Linked DNA regions of Mus musculus. The protein of the gene in region 7 interacts with the protein of the main gene of each other region in a biochemical or structural test. Links are inferred from orthologs where the notes say so. Each region holds a gene or a part of one and is shown on either strand. Other genes may lie near its edges.

Region 1 (3,043 bases), on a different chromosome or scaffold from region 7:
TCCCAAACCCTGAGTGTCCAGCCTTTCCCCTGTTGAATTCTTAGTCTCTTGTGCTGTGCCTAGTGGCACCTGGGCTGGGGAGGACATTGCCCCATCTGGGTTTTTATAAATGTCTTACTCAAGTTCAAACCTCCAGCTTGTGAAATCAACCATGTCTCTGACTTGATAAGCAAGTGTTAGGCTTCAGGAGGGAGGGAGGTCTGTAATGTGAAACAACTTCTTGTTGTCTTTTTTTTTCCCCCTCCCATTGTTGTAAATAACTTTTAATGGCCAAACCCCAGATTTGTACTTTTTTTTTTTCTAACTGCTAAAACCATTCTTCCACCCGGATTTACTGTAACATTTGGAAAAGGAATAAATGTCGTCCCTTTAGTGATGTTTCATTGAGTGGTCTTCTGGGGTGTGGGTAAGAGGACTGCACCGACCTGGAGGACAAAGGCAGGTAGGTCTGCAAGTGACGCCCCACAAGAGACGGGGAAGAACTTAAACCAACCAGGGCCGAGGGTATAGAAATGAGCTGTTTTATTACAAAGAGTTTCACAAAATGAAAATATCTCAAAAAGGAAGCTAGGCTATCAACCTCCACCTACAGAATTGGGGGAAGACAGGCAATATAAGTTTTTTTGTTTGCCCAAGATGGGTGGGAAGGTATAAACAGAACCAATCTAAAAATGGCTGCTATTACCCAAGCCTGAAAAGGGGTCCTAGGAGACCCAGACCCCTCCTAAAAAGTTTAACAGGGGCATCTTAGCAGAGCTCCTAAGCAGGCACTTGGCAGTTCAGGATTTTTCTCTTCTGGTTGTTTTCTTTCCACGCAAATGGGGGGAGGGGGGTGGCAGGATGGACAAGGTCGCTCTGGGAAGAGCCCTCCTAGCACCACTGCCCTGTGCTCTGGTCCCTGGGGACGTTATAGTTAATATATTTTATATAAATACACAGAGGAATAGAAAATATAAAATCTGAGAAGTGAGGAACTTGGGGAGAAGATGGGGCTGCAGACCTTGCTCAGGCCAACTTGACCTCTTCTTTGACCCTGCAGAGAGAACAGACAGGCATGAGAAAACTCATGCTAGTGGCCCTGAAGCACAAACATGGCTATAGTGACTTCCATAGACCCTGGCTGCCCAGGTGACTGCTGGGAACTGGGCAGAGACATACAGACTCCACCCTTAAAGAGGCCTCTCTCTGTAGGCTGGACCAGCAGCTGTCCCTGCTCTTCCTTCCCTCTCACAGAGGTAGGACACAGAAGGTGATGATGCTCTAGTGCTACAGAGAGCCACCAGCCCCTTTCCTCACCCTTTGGCTTCTGGCTTCTCCTCCTTGGTTTTCTCTTCTTCTGTGACTTCTAGAAAATAAGAGAACAGGTATGCTTGAAGGCTTCTCAGGTAGTCGGACTCCTCTATCCTGAAACCCCTTCTTCAATACCACAGTTCACTGGTTATAGAAAAATGAGAAAAGCCTATCCCAGGTCCTCTGGTGAGGTTGGCTGAAAACAGGTCAGACCGGTTTCCCAGCCTGTTTCAGCAAGAACACAGGCAGAGGCAGCCCCCTGGGAAACTGGGAAAAGGGCTTGGGTGGTATGTGAGCCAGGGTCAGTCAGCCAGCAGAGACCAAGAGTGTCACTGTCACTGTTCTGTGGTTCTCACCACCTCTAGGAGCCACTGAAAGACTCAAGACTCAAACCTCCAGTTTAAGCTCCAAAGGAGCTGGCTGGGTCTGGGTCAGCTCCTTCCTGATCTAATCCAAACTCACCTTTTTTCTCTTCAGGATCTTTCTCTTTCTCATCCTCTGTTTTAACTCTTTTGGCTTTTTTGAAGTTAGAAGAGTTCTTGCGACCACCTTCTCCCTCCTCATCTGAGTCCGAGAACTCTTCCTCACAGGCAATGCGTTTGTCAGAGGAGCAGACTGGGAGGCAGCAGAGAGAGAAACATTGGTATGAGAGCAAGGGGCCCAGTGCCTTCCTGCCACAGATACTGAGTGGCAGAGTACCTGCCTGGATGAGAAGACCCCGGGTTCCATCCCCAGCACCCCTCATCAAGACACCAAGGAAAGCTACCAAGCCGGGTGGAGGCAAGGGGTCTCAAAACAAATGTTTGCACACAGCTGGGCAGCTTGGAGATGGGAAAAGGAGGAAGGGAAGTGCAGAGCTCCCTACTAAGCAGGGGACAGGCCCCTGGAGCTAGTCTTACTGGAGATGCGTTTGTCAGGGTCCTCCTCATCTTCATCCCCACTCTCTTCGGGGATGGCATCCTCAGGGATGGCCTGCATCTGGACCCCAGGGGCATGGGGCAGCATCCTCAAGTTCTCAAAGAGACGCTGCCTACAGGAGAGAGGGTGGATGGGCTGTAGTAGTCAGAGACAAGTCAGAAACTGGCCTGTTAAACTGAGACAACTTGGCAGCACACTCACTTGATCTTCTCCAGGTACTCGTTAGTGTTCTGGTTGGTCATGTTGGAAGGGCTGATGTGAAGCTTGAAATCCGGTCCAAAGTATTCAAAGTAGTCGTTGTAGGGCAGCTCTGCGGGCAACGGGAGAGAACAGTGAAGATAAAGACACGGCCACCACCGGGCCCATGGAAACGCATAGAAAGCTTGCTTTCTCTGGGTCTGCTTACCCACTTAAAAAAAGAGAAGACAGAACAAACTAGGACACATACAAAGTTTTAATCTGTTCTGCTTTGTCTTTTTGAGATAAAGTCTTTCTGCGGCCAAGAGCTTTCTTCTTCTTCTTTTTTTTTTTTTTTCCGGTTTTCCAAGACAGGGTTTCTCTGTGTAGCCCTGGCTGGCTTTGAACTCAGAAATCCGCCTGCCTCTGCCTCCCAAGTGCTGGGATTGAAGGTGTGCACCACCACGCTCGGCTCCGAGCTTCCTTATTAAAGGCTGGGGTTACACTTAGGACCTACTGATGTCTATAACACCATTCTCCAGTGTCCACACCAGTGGGGTATGTGTCACTAGGGGGAGAAGGACCCAAGCCCGCAGTGCAGAACACTAAGCACTCTGCATTCACTGTAAATCAAACATCTGAATGACTGACAATGTCC
Region 2 (3,169 bases), on a different chromosome or scaffold from region 7:
AGAAAGGGAAAGCAGAGTAGGAAGTGTTCCCTTCACCTTCCTCTCGGCCCAATCTCTCTTCCAGCTACACAGGGACACAGACACCAAACAGGCGTGCGGTCTCCCCCACACCACCAAACACACAGAACTCACCTGCCCTGACCCAGCTGTCTGGACTAGCCTTTCCTACAGAATGTCTAGTCCTCTCAACACAAGTCTGACACTCAAACCAAGCCGAGGGCGGCCCGTCCCAAGCAGGGTTTCTAGCAAGTCCCCCAGCACCCGTGGGTGCTGAGTCACCCTGAATTCCTGACCTGGCACTCTGCCCCCTCTCCTGGGGGGAGGGGCTGACACCCCATCTGCCATGGGAAGAGAAAAGCCCAGATGCGACACCCCCACCCACCGCCACACACAACCCAAAAATAACCCGCAGCCCCCTACACACCAGAAACACAAAAACAAAATCTCGCATAAATCCAAAGTCGGGAGGGAAGAAAAAAAATTTTTTTTCAAAAGCCAACTACTGCCCCCAAAAGGCTTTTAAACATTCTCCAAAAAAGTTTATTAAAATGTCTTCACTTTAATGCTCGAAACGGAAAAGGTTCTCAAAATATACATACGCCTCTTTTCTCATAGAAATAGAACTTTTTTATATAATACAAAAAAAATAATAAGACCAAAAAAAAAAACAAAACAAAACAAAAAACAAAAACAAAACCAAAAACATCAACAACCCCGCAGGAACATCTTTAAGTGATTACTCAGGGCCCGGCTGACAGTTACACGTGTGTTGCGTCAGTCCCGTGTCCACACGCGCTCAGCCACGTTTGATCCGGATTGCATCAAGTCCCGAAACCCGGTGCGCTGTGCAGGTGCGTGCGCGCGGTGCCCGCGGTGTGCCCGCGGTGTCCCCTCGGTGCAGGTGCAGGTGCGCGCAGGGCACGCACGGTGGTCCGGGCGCGCGCGCGGGGCCGGAGCGCGCGGGGCAGGGCGCACGGTGCCCAGGGTGGCCGCGGCGCCCCCCACGCCACCCGCGCCGCGCTAGCAGTGGCCCGCCGAGGCCAGCAGCGGCTCGGGCAGCTGCTTGAACAAGTTCCGCAGGGTGCTGAGCTCTCGCGACAGCTGCTCCACCTTCTTCTGCAGCCGCTCGTTCTCCGCCGTCAGCTCCAGCACCTTGTGCTGCGTCTCCAGGTTGCGCATCTTGGCCTTGTCGCGGCTCTTGCGCACCGCGATGTTGTTGCGCTCGCGCCGCATCTTGTACTCGTCGCTCAGCTTGTCCACCGTCTTCTTGGCCTTGGCCTTGGCGGGCGCGGCCGGCGGCCCCGCGAAGCAGGCGGCGGGCGCGGCCTTGGCGTCGGCGGGGCTCGGCGTGCCGGGCGGGCTGGACGACGACGACGTGGACAGGCTGCCGCTGCTGCCGCTCGGCGTCGCCTGGTAGCCCAGGTAGGCGCGCAGGGCGAACGGGAAACCGGCCGCCATGGCGGGCGCGTCGTCCGCGCGCTTGCAGTCCGCGGGTTCGAAGCCCGGCTCCGCCTTGAGCGCGGCGGGAGGCGGCGGCGGGAAGCAGGCGGGCGGCGCGGCCTTGGCGCCCGCGCGGCCGAGGCTCACGTAACCGTAGTCGGCCGGCTTCTTGCTCGGCTTGGCGCCGTAGTCGTCGGCGAAGAGGTCGGAGAGGAAGTCGTGGTGCGCGGGCGCGGGCGCGGCGAAGTCCGCGGCGGGCGCGAGCGGCTCCAGGTAGGGGCTGAAGTCGATGGCGCGCTCGTGCTCGCCAATGGCCGGCTCGGCGGCGGGGGCGCGCGGCGCGGCGCGGGCCGCCTTGGCCCCGTAGGCCAGGCAGTCGGGCTCGTAGTAGAAGTTGGCCACTTCCATGGGTCTAAAGGCGGCGGGCGGCGGCGGGAGGCATGCTGCGTCCCAGGCCAGCAGGCGGTGCATGAACGCGGGGCCCGCGGGCTCCGCTGCGTCCCGGTCCCGTGCGCGGCTCGGACTCGGCGCGGCGGCGGCCGAGCGGGAGGTTTATAAGGCGGCGCCTGGCAACGGGCTGCGTCACGCTGGGGCCCCTCCCGCCGCCCCGCCACCCGGTCGGTGCGCGTCATTGCCCGGCCACGGGAGCGCGAGAGGGCGCGGCGGGGAGTGGGGCGCGGCGGGGGTCCTCGCGCGGGAGGCTGAGCGGTGACCCGGGCGTCCCGCCAGCCCCGCGATGGCCACGGACGCGGGTGACGCCAGCCCGCCCCCTTCCCGCCCCTCGGGAACACGGAGGAGCGCGGCCGCCGCCCGCCCCCTGCTGGAGGACGCGGTGGCTCGTCCCGGCTCCGGTCCGCTGTCCCGGACCCCCAACTCTTGGGAAACAGATCGTTCCTCCAGCTACACGACCCCAACCCTCGGATCCTGCCCGCTGTCCCCGGGCCCCAATTCCCTGGAAGCAGCCTTCCACGGGGTGCATGTCCTCCCACCCAGGTGCTGCCCACACCTCTGGGACCCCCCCCCCAACTCCTGGGAAGCAGAACTCTCCAGGTGCACGCCCACCCCGGGGATGCTCGCTGTCCTGGATCCCAGCCCTCCACCCTATGTATGGCCCGCCTACCGCACCTGCCTACGCCACTCCCTGCGCCTCTCCATGAAGGTGGCAGGGCTGGGGGTTCTGCCACACTGTGTCTGGGTGAGTCACTTTGCTTCTGAGTTCCCTCCGTGGACAGTGTTGGTATTGTTAGTAGTGGTGTCATCAGAGACAAACGGACCCCCGAGAAGTACGATGCCTTCCTAAGACCTGCACAGCCCTGCCCAGAGGCTTCTCAGGTGATTGCGGTGGGAGCATGGTAGACCCCACTCCAGCCATAAGGACCCAGCGGTCACCCTGCAAGCTGGGGAGGCAACCCCTCCACCCCGTGCACTTGAATGGGCTGGGATCACCAGCCTCTCTCCGGTGAGACCCTTTTGAGGACGCCCAGGGCAACTCTTGGGGCCCACCCTTCTGCCACTCCTAGGTGGGCCACTCAAGCAGGAGCTGCCAACCTGTCAGGGGCTGACCCCCGACCCATTGACCCCAGCCCTGGCCCCGGCAAGCTGGCGGGGTGTTGCTCAACCTTCGGTGTTATCTGCTGAGCTGGGGTGACCTCCGCCCCCAAGAGCTGGAGAAATGACATCTCCCTGTGCCCTTGGGGGTGGGGGGCAGGGAGGGAAAGGGTAAGACGCT
Region 3 (3,500 bases), on a different chromosome or scaffold from region 7:
TTCACTCTGTACTCCCTGGTACAGAGGGACAGCAAACAGTGAACAAATTGAGAAAGGGGGGATAAAAGGCAACACAAAATGAGCTGCCACAAGGTTTAGCACAAGGCCAGAAGATCAGTTGCAGTAACTTTCAGAACACTTGCAAGTAAATTCCACCTTCCTCCATGTACTTTTCTGGCTCCAATAAGACATTACTTCTCTCCTCTACTCTCCAGGTCTAACCACTAGGCCCCTAGGAAGTATCTCTTGTATAGAGACATCACATCTGCTTATCATTGTTGGTGATATTCTATGTATGTGAATGAGAACATCACCACAGAAATAGTATAGCAAGCGTATACTTCCAGCCTGCCACTCTGGTGGCACAGCTCTAGTAGGGGGCTATACCTCAGGAGTCTCACTCGCTGCAGTACTCTCTTCTTTTTTCCTTTCTTCTTCTTCTTGTTCTAGTTCCTTAATGCTTTCTTCCAACACATTAGGCCAGAAATCTCCTTCAAAATAGGGCAACTCCTTGGCACTCGTGAGCCTGTCTTCGTTCGCTTGTTTGAAGATGTCCTGGGAGGAGGCAGAACAGAGGTGGGGTGAGGTTCCTGGGGTGACTGCTTGAAAGGCCCACTGCTTTGACCAACTGTGCAGTTCATTCTGCAGTTTCACCAGATGCTTCCAGGCTCTTGCTTTCTATTTCTTGTAAGTGATCATAATGATAAAGCAGAGTGCCAGAAGAAAATACACAATGTATGTCAATCAGCTGTGACAAGCCCAGCGCCCTCCTTCAGCAGGATTACCTTATAGTCGTTAATGATCCTCTCTGCAAACGCCTTGTCCAGCATCTTCTTGTACCACTCCTGTAGTCGTTTTGGTTTGGGGATTTTCTGGTCAGGGGGGTGGCAATGAAAGATATAGTCATCTCCTTCACTTGGGGGACAGGCCCAAATATGTCCTGTCACATACCTACAGGATACATACGAAAAAAGCCAGACAGAAGTGTCAGTAAATTCAGATCTACTTTTGATGAACTGTAGCTTAAGAACTTAAGCAACTTAATGAACTTAAGGAACTAAAGAAAGGACAGTAGCCAGGCGTGGTGGTGCACGCCTTTGATCCCAGCACTCGGGAGGCAGAGGCAGGTGGATTTCTGAGTTCGAGGCCAGCCTGGTCTACAGAGTGAGTTCCAGGACAGCCAGGGCTACACAGAGAAACCCTGTCTTGAAAAACCAAAAACCAAAAAAAAAAAAAAAAAAAAAGAAAGGTCAGAAATAAATATGAAGACAGACAAAAATAAAAGACACAACCATAATGCTAGTGTAATTCTTATAAAATACTTGGGCTCCAAACCAGTATGTGAATGGGGGGGAGGGAGGGAGAGTGGAGGTGTTGTCTTCGTCACTTGCAAATTCAACCCTAGATTCAGTTCTGAGCACTTTGCTCTCAGAAATGCATGGAGCTGAGTTTGGCGGGACAGAGTTAAGGGATGTTTCCTTCTTACTTCCTCCTCCTGTGCACTGGAAAGGCAGCTCAGGAAGGTAATTCATGTCAAACAAATCTTAGCTACTCTGTGTAAGACGCTTAAGCAAACACTTTCAGGTTTGGGAAAATATGTATAAACAGAAACACTGTGTATTGAATCATGACTGCCAATTCTAACAGAAGACCAAAAAAGAGAAATGTGCAGACACAAAGTCGATGAATGGTTGTCTGCGAGCAGGGGCAGGACAGGCAGTAGCAGCAAGAGGGCACAGGGCTCTGTGTGGGAGTGAGGGTGCTTGGAGACTGACCAATGGGAATAGTTACACCAGTTACCAACAACACTAAAAACCATCGACTCCGAGACCTGAAACAGAGGCAAAAAGCATGATATGAAGATTATGCCTCAATAAAGTGGAAAAAAAAGGAAAAGCAAGCAAAAGCAGAGTAGACACTGTGCTCTGGACGCATGGGAACCTCAGCAAACTTCTGAACCAACCTTGATATGTTAGAATAAAACACATAAAACTCGATGAGAAAAACTTACTATTTCACAAAATAGACAAAAAATGTTTTTATTGATTCTGACTAATCCAGACTCACCCCAATTTCTTCACATACTCGAGATATCCGATGAGGATCTCATGGTAAACAGCTGTCCGGAGGCAGCGGGGCCGGAAGAAATGAATACTGTCCAGATAAGATATGTATACACGCCTGTGGAGGATAGAAAGCGGTGTCATTTTTATTTAACTTCAGGTGCCCCTCAAGATTGAACACAAATACCAACACCTAAAAACCCCCAGAAATCGGGTTTGATAGTAGTCACAGGCCATGTAACTGAAACAGAAGTAATATTCTGTTATCCAACAAAAGATATGGAAACTAACCCCCCTCCCCGGGGAGGGCAACTTAGGAAAATCCACTTTTTTTTCCCCACTCACCCAAAGTCCAGACTAAAACTAACTCTGGACTAGAGGCAGTTAGTTTGAGCAGGGCATCTAGCTGTTGCTACCCTAGCCCCCAAGTGACTATCTTTGGTAAGACAAAACAAGACTAAGGCCACACACACAAAAAGCATGCAACACTACTACCAGGACCCTTCCTCCCCTAAGAGTTTACTGGGACAAACAAACAAGCAAACAGCATCAGTAACAACACAACAAAACAAAAACTAACTGTATAAGTCAGTTAGCTATGGCTTTATCTTAATCTAGCACCAAAATATACAGCTTAAATAAACCTGAGCCTTGATCATACAAAATAGGGCTAAAAGACACATTCAGAAGTAAGATGGAAGACTACCTTGTATTTGGTGGGGGGCAATCAGAGCCGTATTCTTGCACATGCATCCCAAAAAAGCACACATCGACTCCATCGATCTCCTCAAAAGCAAAGAGTGCTTTGGTACGATATGGGAAAGATTCCGACATCTCTCCAGAATCCACAAACCTGAAACAAGCCAAAACCTGGTGTTTACAAGTGTTGTGTTCCAACTGCTCCTGAGCTAAGCCTGCTCTGTCAAAGAGCTCAAGGCTTGGCAACCTCCTGCAACAACAGCCATAGCAGTTTCAGGGCTGTATGGTAGCTCTTCCTAGTCCTGTTTCTTAGGGAAGGGAGGGACATCTCTGCTAATAAACTGGGATTCAGAAAAGAAAGTCACATGCTAGCTGCCACAAAGCTTCTGTATAAAGACGTCACACTTGAGTCCTCCAAAGACAGGGTAGGGTCTAGTCACAGTTTAGGACAGGAAGAAAGAACACAAACCTTGACTTCATTCCCGGCTTGACCTCCACAGTCTTGTCTGAGCTGGCCACCACTCTGACAAAAACCTCCCCAGCTTCAGGGTGATTCTGGCGCCGCAAAAACTTATTCACTCTGTCTTCTAAGTGGTTTCCCAATCGTGTGGTCTGCAGCCCTAAAAGAGTTTTGAATGAATAAGATTAGGCAGAGCTGTTGAGACTATTTCACCTTTGCTACTTTCAAGGACTAACAGTTGTTTTGTAAGAACATAAGAGTGCCATCCTGTGACATTA
Region 4 (3,248 bases), on a different chromosome or scaffold from region 7:
AAGCTACAAGGCACAACCCAGACAGAAACTGTTATAATCCAGTGCAACCGAACTGAAGGACGATGGAGGAACCCAACCTCTGGTCCTGCCCATGCCCACACTCATGCGGACAACCCCAACCACAGCAGAGGAGGACAAAGAGAGGATCGGCGCTGGAACCAAGTTTGCCCTCCAGCTCTGGTTGCAACATCTGGGCAGATGAGGTAAGGACCGACTTGCGGGTAGCATAGTCTTGGTACCAGATGATGTTTTTAGGGACATCAAAGAAACAAAGAGAAAGCAACTGCTCTTGGCTATGCTTGTGCGAATGCCCACACTCCCTCCCAGGTAAAAGTGACGTCCACACAGACCACAGACCAGCAAAGGAAGCCTGTCAACCCAAGACCTGGGATGTCCTTCGAGATGGAAGGAGAGGCCCTACTCCATAAAGCTGCCCTCTGACTTCCACGTGCAAAACCATGGTGCACGTGCCCGCATACACAGTAATAAACACTTTAAATGTTCTTTTTTTTTTTTTAAGTGAAAGGATGGAACATGGACCCTCTGCCCCACAAACCCTGGGTCTGGAAAGCGAGGTACAACATCCCTTCCCCTCCATGACGCTCACAGAACATTCACAACCTTTATTGTAGGCGAGAACTCTGCTACAACTTTGGGAATAAAAGTAAAATCACATCACAGGGCCTTGGCCCTGAAGGAAGGGGCCTGAGTATTGGGGAGGAGAACACAGAGCCCCCATGTCCCACAAAAGGTGCAAGAGTAATCCAGGCCTGAACACAGGCCACTAGACGCTTCGCCCCTTGGCTGTTTAGCATAAAAACATTGTGAACTTAAATATATAAATAGAGACCCAGGCAGCAGACAGGCCACGCCTTGCTCCCCAGCCCCTGGGAATCACAACTAAGGCCTTGTTTCCTCCTCGAGTCACACTGGGGAGTGAAAGGCAAGGGATTTCATCTTTGGATGCTTTGGAGTTTTCTTATTTATGTACAAAAAAGAAATCTGCAATCCAAAATAGAGTTCTCTGTCCATCTCTGACCTGTCGCCCGACTGTATGGTCAAAGAGAACGGAATGGATGTCAAAGACCAGATATTTGGGTTTGGGTAGGGAACGGAGAGTCTTGGGAGAGGAGGCAGGAAAGTGCCTTTCCCCAAGAGGCTGAAGATCTGGTAAAGGCTAAGGACCCCCTCATCCCTCAGTCCCTATCCCATCTGCCTCCCACTGCCTAGGTTACCATACCCAGAGGAATGTGCCACCATAAAAAGGTTAAATGTTAACCCTGTGAGTACTGGCCTGTTAGGCAGCGATAAGGCCAAAAGCAGGTATCCATGAAGCTCTGGCCTGGCCTTTGGCCAATGACCCCTGAGGGATCAGAGCAGCCAGGGGTTCGGAACCCACAACGTGATCTGCTCAGTGCTGGGGCCAATGGAGATTGATTTCATAATCCAAAAAGCTCAGTCCAAGGAAATGACGTCTGACCGACAGCCAGTCAAAGAGGGACCTGAAGGCAGGGGTCCTCCATGCCCTTCCCTCAAGGAGCTCCCAGGAGCCACAATGCTGCTGACACGACCAGGAGGGGGCGCTGGAGTGGAGCTGCGGTGAGAGCTCCCCAGTGTGGGGGCCAGTGGGCCCAGGAAGTGGGAAGGGGTTCCCCGGTACTGGAAGAAGTGGCCAAGGGTGTCCTGTTCATCTAGCGAAGTGATAACTGAAGGGCCGTAGTGCTGGAGAGATGAAGGGCACAGCTTGACGTGTTGTCTTGACTCAGCACCTCACTCACCTCAGAACCACCTCGTGGGGTACCAGCCCTCAGGGATCATACAGCATTCTTGAGAAGAAAAGCTGGGAACCTCTGCCTCCACCCTACTCCCCCAGACCCTTCTCCTGTGCCTTGCCTTGAGACAGCCCCTTCAGACATCCAGTTCTTGGCCTTGTGGGTGTCTGAAATGTGTGGAACATCCACTAGGGAAGGTTCTGAGTCCGTGTGGGGGTGAGTGAGCAGGAAGAGTGGGGCTACGAAATCACAGGTGTGACTATGGAGTGACGGGGGCAGGGAAAGGACCATGTTCTCCCCTCACAGGAAAGCATTTTTAAATCCCTAGGGACACTGGGCAGGGGAAGAGCACATCATGTGTCTAGAATGGACTCTTCCGAGATCTTGGATCTTCCTAAACATGGCCACTTACCTGACTCTCAGTCTGAAGGAAAGAAAATAAATCTAAACCTGGTAGGAAAAGAAAAATCAAAATCAACTCCCTTCTGACTCCTTCACCACAAGGGGAAAAAAAAATCCCCCTGTCCCTGGGGCTCGGCAAAGAAACAGGTCTGGAGAGGGTGACAGGGAACGACCCTCCCCTCCACCTTAGGGTCAGTGTTCTACCTTGGATGTCAGCCCCCAGTGGGAAGGCAGGTGGGTACTCATGTAGCGGGAGACTAGACAGGAAGTCACTGCCCAGTGTGCCCATTGCAGGGCTCCGCAGCACCGAGGATGGCTGGTGACCAGAGGTCAGGGCTCTGTGAGTGGAGAGAAAGAGCCGGAGAGCTAGCCAAGCGCAGATGCCCCACGTCCCACTCCGCCTGCTCTTCCCTGTCCCAAAGCTCGACCTGTGGCCAGAAGGCAGTTCTGACTTCTGTCCCTCTGCTATGGGAGCAACCTTTCTCATACCCTTTGCTTCCAGGAAGGGCTGGAATGGCCGCTGAGGTGACAGGGCAGTGCTTCTTGGTGGGGGGCAAATCCTCCTCATCTGATGAGCTTTCGATGGTCAAGTCAATGACTTCGACCCTCTTCTTACTCTCTGGCTGAATTCCCTCCTGGACTGCGCTGTACTGGAGACCTGTGGGTGGTTAAGAAGGCTGTCTCAGAGAAAGGGCCAGCCATGACTTAGCTCAATTGGGGAGCAGGGGGTCACTCACCATCCAGCCCATACCCTGGCGGGGGGCAAACCTCTGATGCCTCCTTCTTGGGTTTCATCGGACACCAGGATCCATCTTCCATGAACTGGATCTCATCACAATCCGAACAGGAATTAAGAATTTCCATGAATAAACTAGGGAGGAGGACATGTGGATTCACGAGGCTGGACGCGGCTGGAGCCACCCACGGTGTTCTGACACTCACTTCCTATGCTTTAGTCACCTCATCTGCATCACCCACCCTCCTGGACCTCCCTGAGCTGCTGCTGGGATAGAATACAGCTGGGACTGTAGCTCAGTAACAGAGCACCTGCTTAGCCTGCAGGCTGAGTCTGAT
Region 5 (3,484 bases), on a different chromosome or scaffold from region 7:
TGTAAATCCAGAGGAAGCGTGCAGAATTGTATAAGAGCTTTTGGAGGTACATGACTGGGTGAACCATACAAGCTATTTTATCCAGGCTGAGGAACTACCCTTATTTTCGAAGCCCTCGGAGCCCTCAGAGGAGCTGCCTGAAGGATCCCAGCGAGGATACAAGTCTGCAGACCTAAGAATGGAACCTCCTACAGTTCTGTTCCCTGCGACCTTACCCAGAATTCCCGAGCCAGCAAACTAAGGAGGGCATTCAACATGTTTTTTTTTTTTGTTTGCATGGCCACTGGGCCTAAAGGCAGAGCCCTGTGTATGTTGGGCTCCGACCTGCCCCAGCGCTGTAGTGCTAGCTCCAACAAGCCATCTCTGTTTATATTTTATCTACTTTAATTTGTGTGTCTGTATGTGCATGTGTACACATGCATACAGTAACCTTGGAGGCCAAAGGCATTAGATCCCCTAAGAATGGAGTTACAGGTGGTTATAGGCCAATGGAGGTCCTGGGAACAAACCAGGACCTTTGCAAGAACAAAGCCATCTGTTAGTGCAGCAATGAGTTTTTGGGTTTTTTGAGACAGGTATTCTTATGTAGCCTTGGCTGGTCTTGCCGTATAGATCAAGCTGGCCTTAAACTCACATCACAGAGATCCACTTGCCTGACTGGATGCTGATGTTGAGATTATCTGTGAGTGCCACCGCACTCTAACAAGCCATTGTTTTGTTGTTTTTTGAGTGTTTCCCCCCCCCCCCTTGGTTTTTTTTTCTTCTTCTACTTCTTCCTCTTTTTTTTTTTTTTTTCTTTTCGGAGACAGGGTTTGTTTGTTTGGCCCTGGCTGTCCTGGAACTCCCTCTGTAAACTAGACTGGCCACAAACTCACAGAGATACACATGCCTTGGACTCCCAAGTGCTGGGATTAAAGGCATGGGCCACCACTGCCCAGCCCCACAAGCCTTCTTAACAGATTCTCCCTGTAGGCCTATTGGATAGAACAGGTCCTAGTCTGCCAGGTACAGTGGTACATACTCTACACTAGCACTCAGGAGGCTAGGAGACAGGATTGTGTGGTTAAGGCCAGTTTGAGCTACACATTAAGATCCTTTCTCACCCAGTACGGTGGTGTACACGTTTAATCCCAGTACTTGGAAGGATAGGTGGATCTCTGAGTTTGAAGGCAGCCTGGTCTACAGAGAGTTTCAGGACAGCCAGGGCTACACAGAGAAACCTTGTCTGCGGTATCAGAGGAGGGGGTGGGAATTGTGTCAAAAATGGAGAAGGTGGCATTCTGGACCCCCAAAGCCTATGAGCAGCGCCCCACTCGTATCTACACCCCTTCCAGGTGCGGTTCCCATCCCACTTCAGCTCTGACTTGAAGGACCTGCTGCGGAACCTTCTGCAGGTGGATCTCACCAAGCGCTTTGGGAACCTCAAGAACGGGGTCAATGACATCAAGAACCACAAGTGGTTTGCCACGACTGACTGGATTGCCATCTATCAGAGAAAGGTGGGCTTCTTTTTCCCATACCCAAAGTTGGACTTACGGCTAGGATAGCATAGACAGCCCATTAAGTTCCAGACTAAACAGAAGGCTTCCTCAAGCCAGTAAGGGACTATACATGGTGGATACTGGGTTTTTCTGGCCACTTTGTGGTCTTAGGCAGGAAATATCCTCTGGGAAGTGACTTCCATTTGATAAGTTGGGTTGCAGAGAAGACCTTAATGTTGAGCTCAGGCCTGGGTCACAGCAAGTGTTGTTTGAATATTAAGCCATTCACCTTTATTGTTGTGATGGTAAGGTCAGCTAATGTGATCTGGGTGGTTTTGATTCCTATCCAGGTGGAAGCTCCCTTCATACCAAAGTTTAAAGGCCCTGGGGACACGAGTAACTTTGACGACTATGAGGAGGAAGAGATCCGGGTCTCCATCAATGAGAAGTGTGGCAAGGAGTTTACTGAGTTTTAGGGGTGTGCTTGTGCCCCTTGGGTTCTCTTTCATTTTTTCTTTTTCTTTCTATTTTTTTTCCGGTTGGGGGTGGGAGGGTTGGATCGAACAGCCAGAGGGCCCTAGAGTTCCATGCATCTAATTTAACATCCACTCCACACCCCCAGGGTTAAGGAGAGCAGGAAAGCGCTCCAGATACTGGGGAAGGGGCAACATCAGCTGCTCCCCCTCTCCCTTCTTCTCCACCCTTCCCTGCCTGTTTTCAATGAATTTCTTAGCTCCAGCCATACCCAATCTTGCTGGTGTATCCAGGGGCAGGGTACGGAAAGAGGGCCCCAAATTCAGCCTCCTTCCCGACCCTAGCACTGGATACTAAGGATGAACGAACAGTAACGCCAACCTTCCCTTCCATGCAGCCCTACCTGGAAAGGGAGATTTTATGACCTGTACAGAGGGCTGCTTGCCAGTGGGGTTTTTTTTTTTTTTCATTTAAATTAAGTTCCACCAGTGCCTCCCACCCTCCAAACTGTCCCACCCTCCCCAAACACCCTCCTCACTCCCTAAATCCATTCTGATGAGACCCGGGTAGCCAACTGACCCTGTCAAGGAAGGAACTGGGCTTGGAATCTCGCCCTGAGCTGCTAGCCTCCCGGCCCCCCTTTCCAGTGGTCTCATGCCAATTGTCCTGTGCATCAGCCCCCTTAAGAAGCCTCCCCCATCCTGGGCGCCTCGCTTCTAGCTTAGCTGTCAGCTGTCCATCACCTCTTGCCGTGCGTCCCCACTCACTGCAACCCCAAGTCTGATTGTGCTTTTTCTCTCAATAGAAAGGTGGGGAGCTGCTGGGGAAATTACCCCATTTATCCCTGTGTTTATCCCTCTCGTAACTTCTCCCAAAAAGGAGGAGCTCTCAGGCCTGGGTGGGGGCCCCGGGTGGACGAGGGGGTCGTTCAACCTGTGTGCTTCGAAGGATGAGACTTCCTCTTGAACAGTGTGCTGTTGTAAACATATTTGAAAACTATTACCAATAAAGTTTTGTTTTAAAATAAAAGTGTCGCTGGTTTTCCCGACTTCGATCACACCCTTGGGGTGTTGGAAAGGGAATTTCGAACCTCAATGTCCAGGTTCTGGAGACCCCGGCCTCGGGACCTTGGAGAAACCAGGTTTGGCTGGAATTCCTGTACTTCCTCCGCCTGGCCAGAGAAAGGAGGGGTGGGGTGGGCAAACTGTCCTTTGACCCTGAGTTCGGGGCCCTCAAATCTGCTCCCACCCCTACTTCGGTCTAGTCCGGGACAGAGAGGGCACTGGAGAGGGCCACTCGGACCGGTTCGGCCAAACAGCAGCAGGATTAGCAGGGTAGGAGAAAAGGGGAGCCCCGCGCGCCCCCAAGCCCTCATGTAGGCGCGGCAGGGCCGCTGGTGAGGTCTCCGCGGCTTCCCAGGAGCGAGGCGCGTCCGGCCGCGGCGCGGCTAGTTCCCGGTAAGTGCGGTCCCGAGAGCGCTGAGCGCGGAGAGGCGTGGAGAGGGGGCTGGGCGCCGAGGACGTCTGGGT
Region 6 (4,184 bases), on a different chromosome or scaffold from region 7:
GGTAGGCTGTCTTTAGGATCTCAGCTCGGGTAAATTCAGGGCCCAGCTCTTATCGTTTAGGAAATCCAGGCTTGCTGATAAAAGTCTTAAAACCATACCCAAGACAAGCAAATAGAAACAAAGACTCATAACTTTAAGCTTCCCTAACTTTCCATACTTAGAAAGAACATAATAATTGGAGTAGTTAAGCAGCATATGCATCCATGTTCTAAACAGAATATTTGATTAAAATATTGATATGTACGTATAACTGAAGAGAAGTAGTAAGAATAAAGCTAGGTCTTAAGATAATGATTTAAGGATATACCATACCAGTGGTAGATATTATCTTAACATGAACCGTACATTTCGCCAAAGTATGGCCTATTGTGTTTGAGATCTCCTTATAAATGCAGTTGTGCTGGATAATTTATTAAATTTAATATATATAATTTAAAATAGATAATGTATAACTCTCAAAAACCTCCCCCTGTATTGTGAGAAAATTACAAGAAATGAACAAAAACCACCTTAGGGGAAAAAAAATTAATTTTTTTTTTAAAAAACCTCATATGCTATGAAACTAACTAATATATAGTATTTGAGGCTCCCTTGGTATTGAGACCAACATTTAACTGGCCTTGCTTTTTTTTTGGTCAACTTAATTCTGTTTCTAGTGACCTTTGTAAGCAATCATGCCGCTGCCCTTTTTGCTGTATTTAGGCGTTAAGAAAGTGAAGTTAAGTAATGGATAACAGGGAAATTTGCCACAAAAATAAGAAAAACAAGAAAGAAATTCACTTTGACAATTTGTGGGTTGTGCATATGTTTAAAATTACATACTATTGACTTAAATCAAATTGTCTTGACTAGTGTAGTATTTTTTTAAATCTTCTACCAATATTTACTTAGTGGAATCCTATGAAAGCAAAAAAAAAAATTCTTCCAGTATTTTTGCCTCACTTTATGACACAGAGAATATTTCCAAGTCCACATGACAATAAATTTAGCAGAAAGACACAAATTAGAATGGCCAACATGTCTTGCCATACGCACCGGGCACCTACAGACCCTGTGAAAGCTGTGAAAATATTCAGACTTTTGGGTAAATTATTTTAACAAAATTTTTATGTAAGTTTCCTTCTATTAGCAACCACTTCATAATTTGAAAAGTAAGTTAAATACATTGCTGATCCTTATACATGTTTTCACAGTGCCTTTACATATTCCCCACACAGAAGGATCTTGACAAGACTGATGGAATATTCTTTTCAGAGACTTAAAAGTAAAAAAAATCATTTATTTAAATATGTAAAACTTACTAACTGAAATCAGTCACTTGCATAATCCATTTCTACGTCAAAAATTTAAAGTCATGCTTTTCATATATGAATTTTAAATGTCATAGGGATTTTGAAACTAAAGATATGATTTTTTTTAAAGTGTAATTTGCCCTTTTCTGTTAAAGTGATTCTGAAAGATGTAGTGACATGAATGTTAGGAAAACCAGCTCCTTTAAAGGAAATATACTTAATTATTAAAAAATAGTTATCACAAAAAATATCAAAGTAGTCTTAAGTATTGATGTGTATAATGTTTCCAGGTCTTTTAGTTCTAATGTGTTTAGAAGAACTTATAATCTTTGAAATATAAAAGACCGAGGAAACAGCATCAAAAAACTCTTCGGCCTAGAGGCATCAAGAACTTCAGACTTCACCGGCGCCATTGTTCTTCAACAGTTTGAAGAGTTTGAAACTTTTACATATGAAAAAGATTTTTTTCCTTAAAAAGAAAACTGTCAACAATCTTTTCCCTTCTAGTGAGCTGCAAAAGCGTGAGGTGACCACCAGTTGCTCCTTAGATCTTCTCACTGAAGATATAGTTCTCAGCAAATTAAATATGAAGTAGCACTGGAGTGAGCAAATTTACACAAAACACACAGTAAAATAAAAATCGAGGGCTTTATAATATGTTTCACTCCAACTAAGGCATGACACTGAGTTAAAATGTTCATATATTAAAATTAATATTTCGGACATTTACTTTAGAGCAAATGTGGTTGAAGATAAGACAACAGAGAACTTATTTTAAAGTTGAAACCCAATCTTCTGAAATGCTGCTCCAAATGCTCGTAGTATCTATGAGTGCTTCTGTCAAACTTGCAAGAGAACTATCTCTTTGAGTAGTCATAGCGTATATCCGTTCCTACCCTAGCCAGGTTTTAAATCACAGAGCACCTGGAGTTAGTTACATTTTTAGTCAGCAATTGATCACTTAGCTATGGACGACAGGAAGACTCCCACAGAGCACCTGATATCTTTGGAAGACCTGCCCAAGTCCAAGACTAAGTTATTCATTTAATAACTCCAGTTAACAATTTGCTTCGTGCATGATAATAAAGAGTTGACATTACAATAATGAACTCCAAATCAAGAGGCTTTCCAACTGTTAGCTATCCTACAACTTGGTTCATCTGGTTTTGTTTTCAAATGATCATTTAATTTTACATTTTTGTCCTTCATCCTGCTAAAAAGGGACACCTTTTAGCCTCTTCCTCACAGAAAACTTAACTTTTCTTTTTTCCCTTCTGAAATAAATGGCACGACCTCCCCCCTATTAGCATCAGAAGCAAAGCAGATTCTTAACAGTACAAGAACACAGCCAGACCATCCTGATGTGTAAGAACTTGGGGGCAGTTTGGCCACTTCACTACACACACCAACAAAAACGTGATGACGATGGGGCCACTCACCTACTCAATGGGAGTTAAGAAGAATTTAGCGCTGCAGCCTTCAGATCCCCAGCAGAGGTCCAGGCCCCTTCTTGACCTCCTCGCGTCCCTTATATAAAAGCAGCCCAGGCTACTCCCAGTTTCTGCCTCCTCACCTTAGGCTCCTCCCCAATCCCAAGCCATAAAGCACCGGGAGCCACACACCCACCTTCCGCCCCCAGCACGAGGGCTGCCTACTCCCGTGAGCCGGGCCCTGTGCTCGCCCCCTGCTTAGATTGAAGAGGGGCACTGGCGGGGCGGGGCCTTGGCGACAGTGACCCCGCTTTCCTCACACCTGGTGAGCCCCGGGCAGGGGGCCGTGGGCCAAATCGCCTCCGTGATCACGGGCGCATCCTCCTCCCCACCCTCCGACCCCTAGAGCCTCAGGGCGACCGGTGGCTGCTGGCGAGCCCCTCTCTAAATCTGTCACCAGGATCCGCACAATGCGGTCCCCAACGCGGTAGTTCTGGAGACCTGGCTTTCCTGTCAGGGTCTGGAACAGGGGCAACCCTGTTCCGCGCTCACACACATGCCTGCCTGCGCACCCTCTCAGGGAAGCACTGTGGCCCTCCGCACCGTGCCGGTGCCCCTCACGAGGACAGTCACCCTGTCAGTCACACTCGGCTCTCCAGGAGGGTGACCGGTCCTCAGCCGAGACCCCTCACTCTGTCCCTGAGTCCGCGACCCCGCCCCGCTATCACTCTCTCGCTCTTCTCTTGTGTGACTTCTCCTCAGCCCGCGCGATCCCCTCAGACCCAGACTCTGTCACCTTGTCTGTCACATTCGGTCCTGTCAAGAGTTTGCCTTCTCCTCAGCCGGGGTCCCTTGAGTCAAGATTCTGTCACTTGGTCACTCTCCGTCCTGTCGGAGTGTGGCTTTCCAGCCCGTATCCCCTCTAGTCGAGACAGGGTTAGGCTGTCAGTTACGCAGCCCTGTCAGAATGTGACTTCTCATCCCGAGTCCCCTCAGCGGAGACCCAGTCACCTAGCCAGTCAGATCCAGACCCCACAAGCCGAGACCCCCCCTCACCTTGTCTGTCACACAGTCCTGTCAGAACGTGACTTCTCAGCCCGCGTCCCCTCAACCGAGACCCCGTCAGGCTGTTGGTCTCACAGGCTCCTGTCAGAGTGTGACTTCTCCTCAGCCCGTCCCCTCAGCCCGGTCACCTTGTCGTCACACTCGGTCCCCTCAGGCTGCGCGCGACCCAATACCCCAGCGCAGCGCCCCAGGTCTCTTCTTCCGCGTCCCTCCGGCGGGCCGCGTGGCCCGGGGCGACTCTGACCTGAGGCGGCGGCTTGGCGGGTGCTGTGCGTCGGTGAGGCCGACCCGACCCGAGCGCCCCAGGCGGCTGCCGCTCTGAGTGCGACGGGCCCCGCCTGGCCGGCCGCGGACCGGAGGAGCCGAGCCGAGCCACCCGGCCGGACCGGGGGCGGTG
Region 7 (4,187 bases):
ATTCAAGTCATAGTCCCCGCGCTGCTCCTCTATAGGAACTGTCAAAAACAAAAAAACAACAAAAACAAAAAACAAAACACTGTGGTGGAAGGCATTGGGGGTGGGGGAGGGGGGACGGGCCAGGGAGCTCTGAGGAAAGAGGAAGGTGATTTGAGGAGATGTAAAACAGAAGTCTAAGGGGAGGAAGACCCTAGATCCATCACGGCTCTCCAGGAGCCCTCTCTAGGCCTGACTCTCAACGGCAGAGTGTGAGTGTGTGCCAAGCTGGCAGCAAGGTTCCACTCCTGCTGCTGGGTTGGCCATGGAGGGAGATGAGCGGCAGAGGCCCAGGGAAGGTGACAGAGATACTTGCACCACACGAAGATCAATGTCTTTGCCCCTTGCTCCTACCGTGAAAGGGGTTATTGTTGGTCTGGATTCGCTGGCTAATGGCTTGCTCCAGGTCTCGCTTCTTCACACACTGGATCCCCAGGTTCTGGAAGCTGAGGCCTCAGGTATTAGTTTTGTGTCTCCAGCAGAGCCCCTTCTTGCCTCCCAACTCCACAGCTCTCAGGTATGTCTAGGCTTCCCACTCCTTACCCACTGGCAAGTCTCTGAGGGAGCTGGCCCTCGCAGGCCTCCAAGCCAGTGCCCCACCTCAGCCACAGGGGCTTCCTTTCCCAGACCTAAGCACACGAAATGGAACGTACTCCCCTTCCAAGGGCATCGTACTGCTTGCTTGCTTGCTTGCTTTTTTTTGTACTTCTTTCTCGTGCACGGAATGTTCTTTTGGGTCTGTCTGCTTTTTCTCACCATTTAAGAGTTAGCACAGAGGCCTTCTGTAACCCTCCAACCCAAAGTCGTGAGACCTGTGCAGCAGGACACGGTGCTACATGCCTATTCCCCTGGAGTTGAGAAGAGGAGGCAGGGGAACCCTAACGAGTTCAAGGCCAGCTTGAGCTTCCTGAGACCAGACTCCTCCTCCTAATTTATAACTGTGTTTTCTTTCCATCATGGAAGTTATAATTCTCTACCAGTATCTCGTCTATCTGTCTGTACAATTATCGCCTGGTTTTACCAACTGGTATTTAAGCTCTAGGAGGGTCCATTTGGATATCTTTCTGATCCAAGAGGCTAAGAGGCTGGCCTGTCCAGCCATAGGGTTTGTGGCTCTAAGAAGATAAGGAGTTCCCAACTGTTAGAGAATTCAAGACAAAGGAGGTCTGTTTGCAAACTGGAGACAGAGTTAAGAACTCTGGATTCTGCCTGTGTTTAGAAAAGAGCAACACTGTAAGAGCTGCCTGGCCGGCCTGCTCCTACCCTGCCCTCACACCACCCCCAGCCCATAGGGAACTCACCTATGGATACTGCGGTCTGGGCAGAGGTCAGCCTCATAGTAGCCATCCCGGCAGTCCTTCCCCACAAGTTCATGTGGATGAGGCCGGTGAGGTGGATCCTTGGTGACCAGGGAGATTCGAACTGTTCCTGGTCCTGTGTAGCCATTGATCTGTCCAAAGTACAGAGTACTCTAGTGGCCAGCAATCCCTAATCTGGCTCTTAGACACAGGGCACGGTGACCAGGAGGCAAGTCTGCTGGGGCTGCACAGTGCGTTCCACCACATCTGTGTCCCAGCGACACCCCTGGGGGCTCTTGCTTACCTTGATGGTGGGGTGTGTCTTGGTGGTATCTGTGCTTCTCTCGCCAGGAATACTGCCCGCTGAGCGCCCCTCGCATTTATAGCGGAATCGCATGCCCCGTTGCTTCGGCTGTTCGATGATCTCCACATAAGGCCCAGAAGCCTGGGCTGGCTCTGTGGGTGACACAGTCAGCCATCAGGTGCTATCCCCACGGCCCCGACTCCAGGACAGCCCCTGACTACTGAGGATGGATGGTCCAACTTACCTGAGGGAAAGATGAGGGGAAACAGATCTGAAAGGGAAAGACAAGGCACATTGTCAATAAACTCCAGTGCCCACCCTCACCTGCGAAGGCCTGACAGAGCCAAGCTCCCTCCCTTCCAAGAAAACTGAGCCAAGACCCTGAAACCTGCCCTGACAGAGGCCGGGGAACTAGAGAAAGGGGACACAGAGGCATTCCTTTGCCAGGGGAAACTGAGTCAGTGCCTGTTTTACGTTCATAAGTGACACTGAGGAGGGGGTAATACCCTCCTCTCCTCTTCTGGGGAAACTGAGTCAGATACTTTCTTCCTTACACGGAAAGGAAGCCAGAACTAATCGCATCGACACGGGGGTGGGGGGAGCCGGAGGAAACGGAGTCAAGATTCACCCGTACCCCCACCCAGGAGGGACACTGAGTCAAGGCGCCCTCCACTGAGAGGGGTAACTGAGTCAGACCCCCTCGCAGCCCGCCCCGCCCCGTGCCACCATCCGGCCTGCCGCTCCCTGCGCAGCAACCCGCGGCGCAGAAAGGGGCGGAAGACGGCGCGGGGAGGGGGGAGATTCCGCCGCAGGCCCCGGAGCTCTAGGGCAGCCATCCCCCGAGCCAGAGGGCAGCCTCACCGTCCATGGTCAGGGTCCCGGGGGCGGGGCCGGGGTCGCAGCTGAGCCCACGGCGCGCTAAAGTAAAGCCATTCGCCAGAGGCGGAAATGCGCGGCGCGCGCCCGTCGTCGCGTCACTGCCCGGAATCCGGCCGCGCCTGCGCGCTGAGCCGCCGCCACCGCCACCGCCGCGCGTGGGGGGCCGAGAGCAGGTGCGCGACTCACGCTGGGCGCGGAAGGTGTGCGGCGGGCGCGCGGGCGGGGACACCGCAGCGCGGCGGGAGGACGCCGAGGCTGTTTGTCCCGAGGCCGGCCCGACTACAAGCTCCGCAGCGCGGCTCGCTCGGGGTCCCGGTCCCGTTCCCGGCCCCGCCTGGAGGGCGGGCCCGCGATTACTCACTCTGTTTTTAGGGGATTTCGGGTCCCGTTCCCCGCCCCGCTCTGATCTCAGGAGTTTGGTGATGTCACCCTGGCCGGGACTGGAGCCGAGCCAGGGCTGGTGGCAGGCTGCGGCCATTCGCCCTGCGCAGGGAGAGGCCCAGGCCTGCTGCTCCCGCGGAGGCCAGTGACTGAATTCCACACGTTTTCCTAAGCGTGCAGGGGCCTTCTGGGGACCCGCGTGCTACGGGCCACATGCTCCCCAACCTAGATCCGGCTGCGCGCAGGAGTGCTTCGCGGAGCGAGCGTGCTGCATCCGACAGGCCTTAGGGTAGAGGGGCAGACCGAGGACTAGGCAGACACCTGTACCTCTAAGAGTCCCTGAGAGCCATGAGTGCTGGAAGAGCCCCAGGGCTTCGTCTGCACACATAGGTGCTGTCTGCTAAGGTTTAGATCTTTAGGGATCTCCGGAACCAGCTAGGGTCACACCGTGAACATCTCCTTCAAGGCCTCCCAGGAGTCCAGGCTCCAATGAGGAAAGCGTTTGTAGGGAGCAAAAATTGCCATCTAAGCCAAGGGCAGGTGTGCAGATTGAGTGTGGGGACTCTGGCCGGAGGACGCAACACATCAGGCTGCCTCCACTATGCCAGAAGGAGGAGGCGCCTCCCGGGCCACAGGAGGTTTCAGCACTCAGAGAAAGACTTATTTTCTCTAAATTAGGAAATCATGTGGGAATTGGAAAAGATTGGAAATTCTGAATTGCTTTCCCAGGCTCTGAAAAAAACAGGAAGACAAAAGTGAAAATAGTTACGCCCCTCCCACTCATTTCAGTTTCTCACTTGGCGCAGATTAGAAAAAGCAGTTTAATATTTTGCGAGGGCGGATGTCAAGGCGACAGAATGAATATAATCTCCAATTAATGGCACACAGCCATCATTGGTCCTCACATGAACCACTTGTAAAAACACATATAGTTACAATTTAAGTTAATATGAATACCAGCGTCCTTACTAAAAAGTAAAGGCTAGAAATGAGAACTCAGTAGTTTTTGCATAACGTTGCAGGAAGCTGGGATTTGATCTCTGACTCCAGGATGCTCCAGTAATCCCAGCGCTCATGGGGTCAGACGTTCAACGTCATCCTCCTCTACATAGTTTGAACCCATCCAGAACTACAGAAGATGCTCTTTAAAAAAGGATGGTTGCAGGCTGGAGAGATGGCCCATCAGTTAAGAGTCGATAATGCCCTTGCAGAAGACCAGAGTCCAGTTATCAGCAACTGTAACTGCAGCTTCCGGAGACCTCACACTGTTCTGGGCTCTTGAGAGCAAC

Evidence for each region.
Region 1: the proteins of Rela (region 7) and Hdac1 form a complex in vitro, tested with the Homo sapiens proteins (2 studies listed by BioGRID and IntAct). The link is inferred for Mus musculus from reciprocal best matches to the Homo sapiens genes RELA and HDAC1.
Region 2: the proteins of Rela (region 7) and Cebpb form a complex in vitro, tested with the Homo sapiens proteins (2 studies listed by BioGRID). The link is inferred for Mus musculus from reciprocal best matches to the Homo sapiens genes RELA and CEBPB.
Region 3: the proteins of Rela (region 7) and Crebbp form a complex in vitro, tested with the Homo sapiens proteins (9 studies listed by BioGRID and IntAct). The link is inferred for Mus musculus from reciprocal best matches to the Homo sapiens genes RELA and CREBBP.
Region 4: the proteins of Rela (region 7) and Pias3 form a complex in vitro, tested with the Homo sapiens proteins (2 studies listed by BioGRID, with this or other methods). The link is inferred for Mus musculus from reciprocal best matches to the Homo sapiens genes RELA and PIAS3.
Region 5: of the proteins of Rela (region 7) and Prkaca, one has a biochemical effect on the other in vitro, tested with the Homo sapiens proteins (4 studies listed by BioGRID and IntAct, with this or other methods). The link is inferred for Mus musculus from reciprocal best matches to the Homo sapiens genes RELA and PRKACA.
Region 6: the proteins of Rela (region 7) and Pparg form a complex in vitro, tested with the Homo sapiens proteins (3 studies listed by BioGRID, with this or other methods). The link is inferred for Mus musculus from reciprocal best matches to the Homo sapiens genes RELA and PPARG.

Annotation. Positions count from the first base shown.
Region 1 is NC_000070.6:129,515,604-129,518,646, forward strand, and holds the end of Hdac1 (histone deacetylase 1), read right to left. Parts: intron 2,519-3,043; coding exon 2,410-2,518; intron 2,321-2,409; coding exon 2,190-2,320; intron 1,906-2,189; coding exon 1,753-1,905; intron 1,346-1,752; coding exon 1,297-1,345; intron 1,034-1,296; coding exon 1,006-1,033; 3' UTR 501-1,005; downstream 1-500. UniProt on the Homo sapiens protein: Histone deacetylase that catalyzes the deacetylation of lysine residues on the N-terminal part of the core histones (H2A, H2B, H3 and H4).
Region 2 is NC_000068.7:167,687,764-167,690,932, reverse strand, and holds Cebpb (CCAAT/enhancer-binding protein beta), read right to left. Parts: upstream 2,019-3,169; 5' UTR 1,912-2,018; coding exon 1,021-1,911; 3' UTR 501-1,020; downstream 1-500. UniProt on the Homo sapiens protein: Important transcription factor regulating the expression of genes involved in immune and inflammatory responses. Also plays a significant role in adipogenesis, as well as in the gluconeogenic pathway, liver regeneration, and hematopoiesis.
Region 3 is NC_000082.6:4,091,405-4,094,904, forward strand, and holds part of Crebbp (histone lysine acetyltransferase CREBBP), read right to left. Parts: intron 3,383-3,500; coding exon 3,232-3,382; intron 2,917-3,231; coding exon 2,770-2,916; intron 2,182-2,769; coding exon 2,068-2,181; intron 952-2,067; coding exon 786-951; intron 556-785; coding exon 388-555; intron 1-387. UniProt on the Homo sapiens protein: Acetylates histones, giving a specific tag for transcriptional activation. Mediates acetylation of histone H3 at 'Lys-18' and 'Lys-27' (H3K18ac and H3K27ac, respectively).
Region 4 is NC_000069.6:96,703,323-96,706,570, reverse strand, and holds the end of Pias3 (E3 SUMO-protein ligase PIAS3), read right to left. Parts: intron 3,046-3,248; coding exon 2,912-3,045; intron 2,833-2,911; coding exon 2,664-2,832; intron 2,513-2,663; coding exon 2,379-2,512; intron 2,223-2,378; coding exon 2,185-2,222; exon of another isoform or gene 1,723-2,184; coding exon 1,456-1,722; 3' UTR 501-1,455; downstream 1-500. Other genes in the region: Nudt17 (nucleoside diphosphate-linked moiety X motif 17), read left to right, coding at 43-202. UniProt on the Homo sapiens protein: Functions as an E3-type small ubiquitin-like modifier (SUMO) ligase, stabilizing the interaction between UBE2I and the substrate, and as a SUMO-tethering factor.
Region 5 is NC_000074.6:83,993,461-83,996,944, forward strand, and holds the end of Prkaca (cAMP-dependent protein kinase catalytic subunit alpha), read left to right. Parts: intron 1-1,334; coding exon 1,335-1,499; intron 1,500-1,831; coding exon 1,832-1,957; 3' UTR 1,958-2,984; downstream 2,985-3,484.
Region 6 is NC_000072.6:115,360,965-115,365,148, reverse strand, and holds the start of Pparg (peroxisome proliferator-activated receptor gamma), read right to left. Parts: upstream 2,801-4,184; 5' UTR 2,732-2,800; intron 1-2,731. UniProt on the Homo sapiens protein: Nuclear receptor that binds peroxisome proliferators such as hypolipidemic drugs and fatty acids.
Region 7 is NC_000085.6:5,636,154-5,640,340, reverse strand, and holds the start of Rela (transcription factor p65), read right to left. Parts: upstream 2,801-4,187; 5' UTR 2,507-2,800; coding exon 2,500-2,506; intron 2,378-2,499; exon of another isoform or gene 2,221-2,377; coding exon of another isoform or gene 2,193-2,220; intron 1,910-2,192; coding exon 1,883-1,909; intron 1,791-1,882; coding exon 1,639-1,790; intron 1,487-1,638; coding exon 1,338-1,486; intron 483-1,337; coding exon 391-482; intron 39-390; coding exon 1-38. UniProt on the Homo sapiens protein: NF-kappa-B is a pleiotropic transcription factor present in almost all cell types and is the endpoint of a series of signal transduction events that are initiated by a vast array of stimuli related to many biological processes such as inflammation, immunity, differentiation, cell growth, tumorigenesis and apoptosis.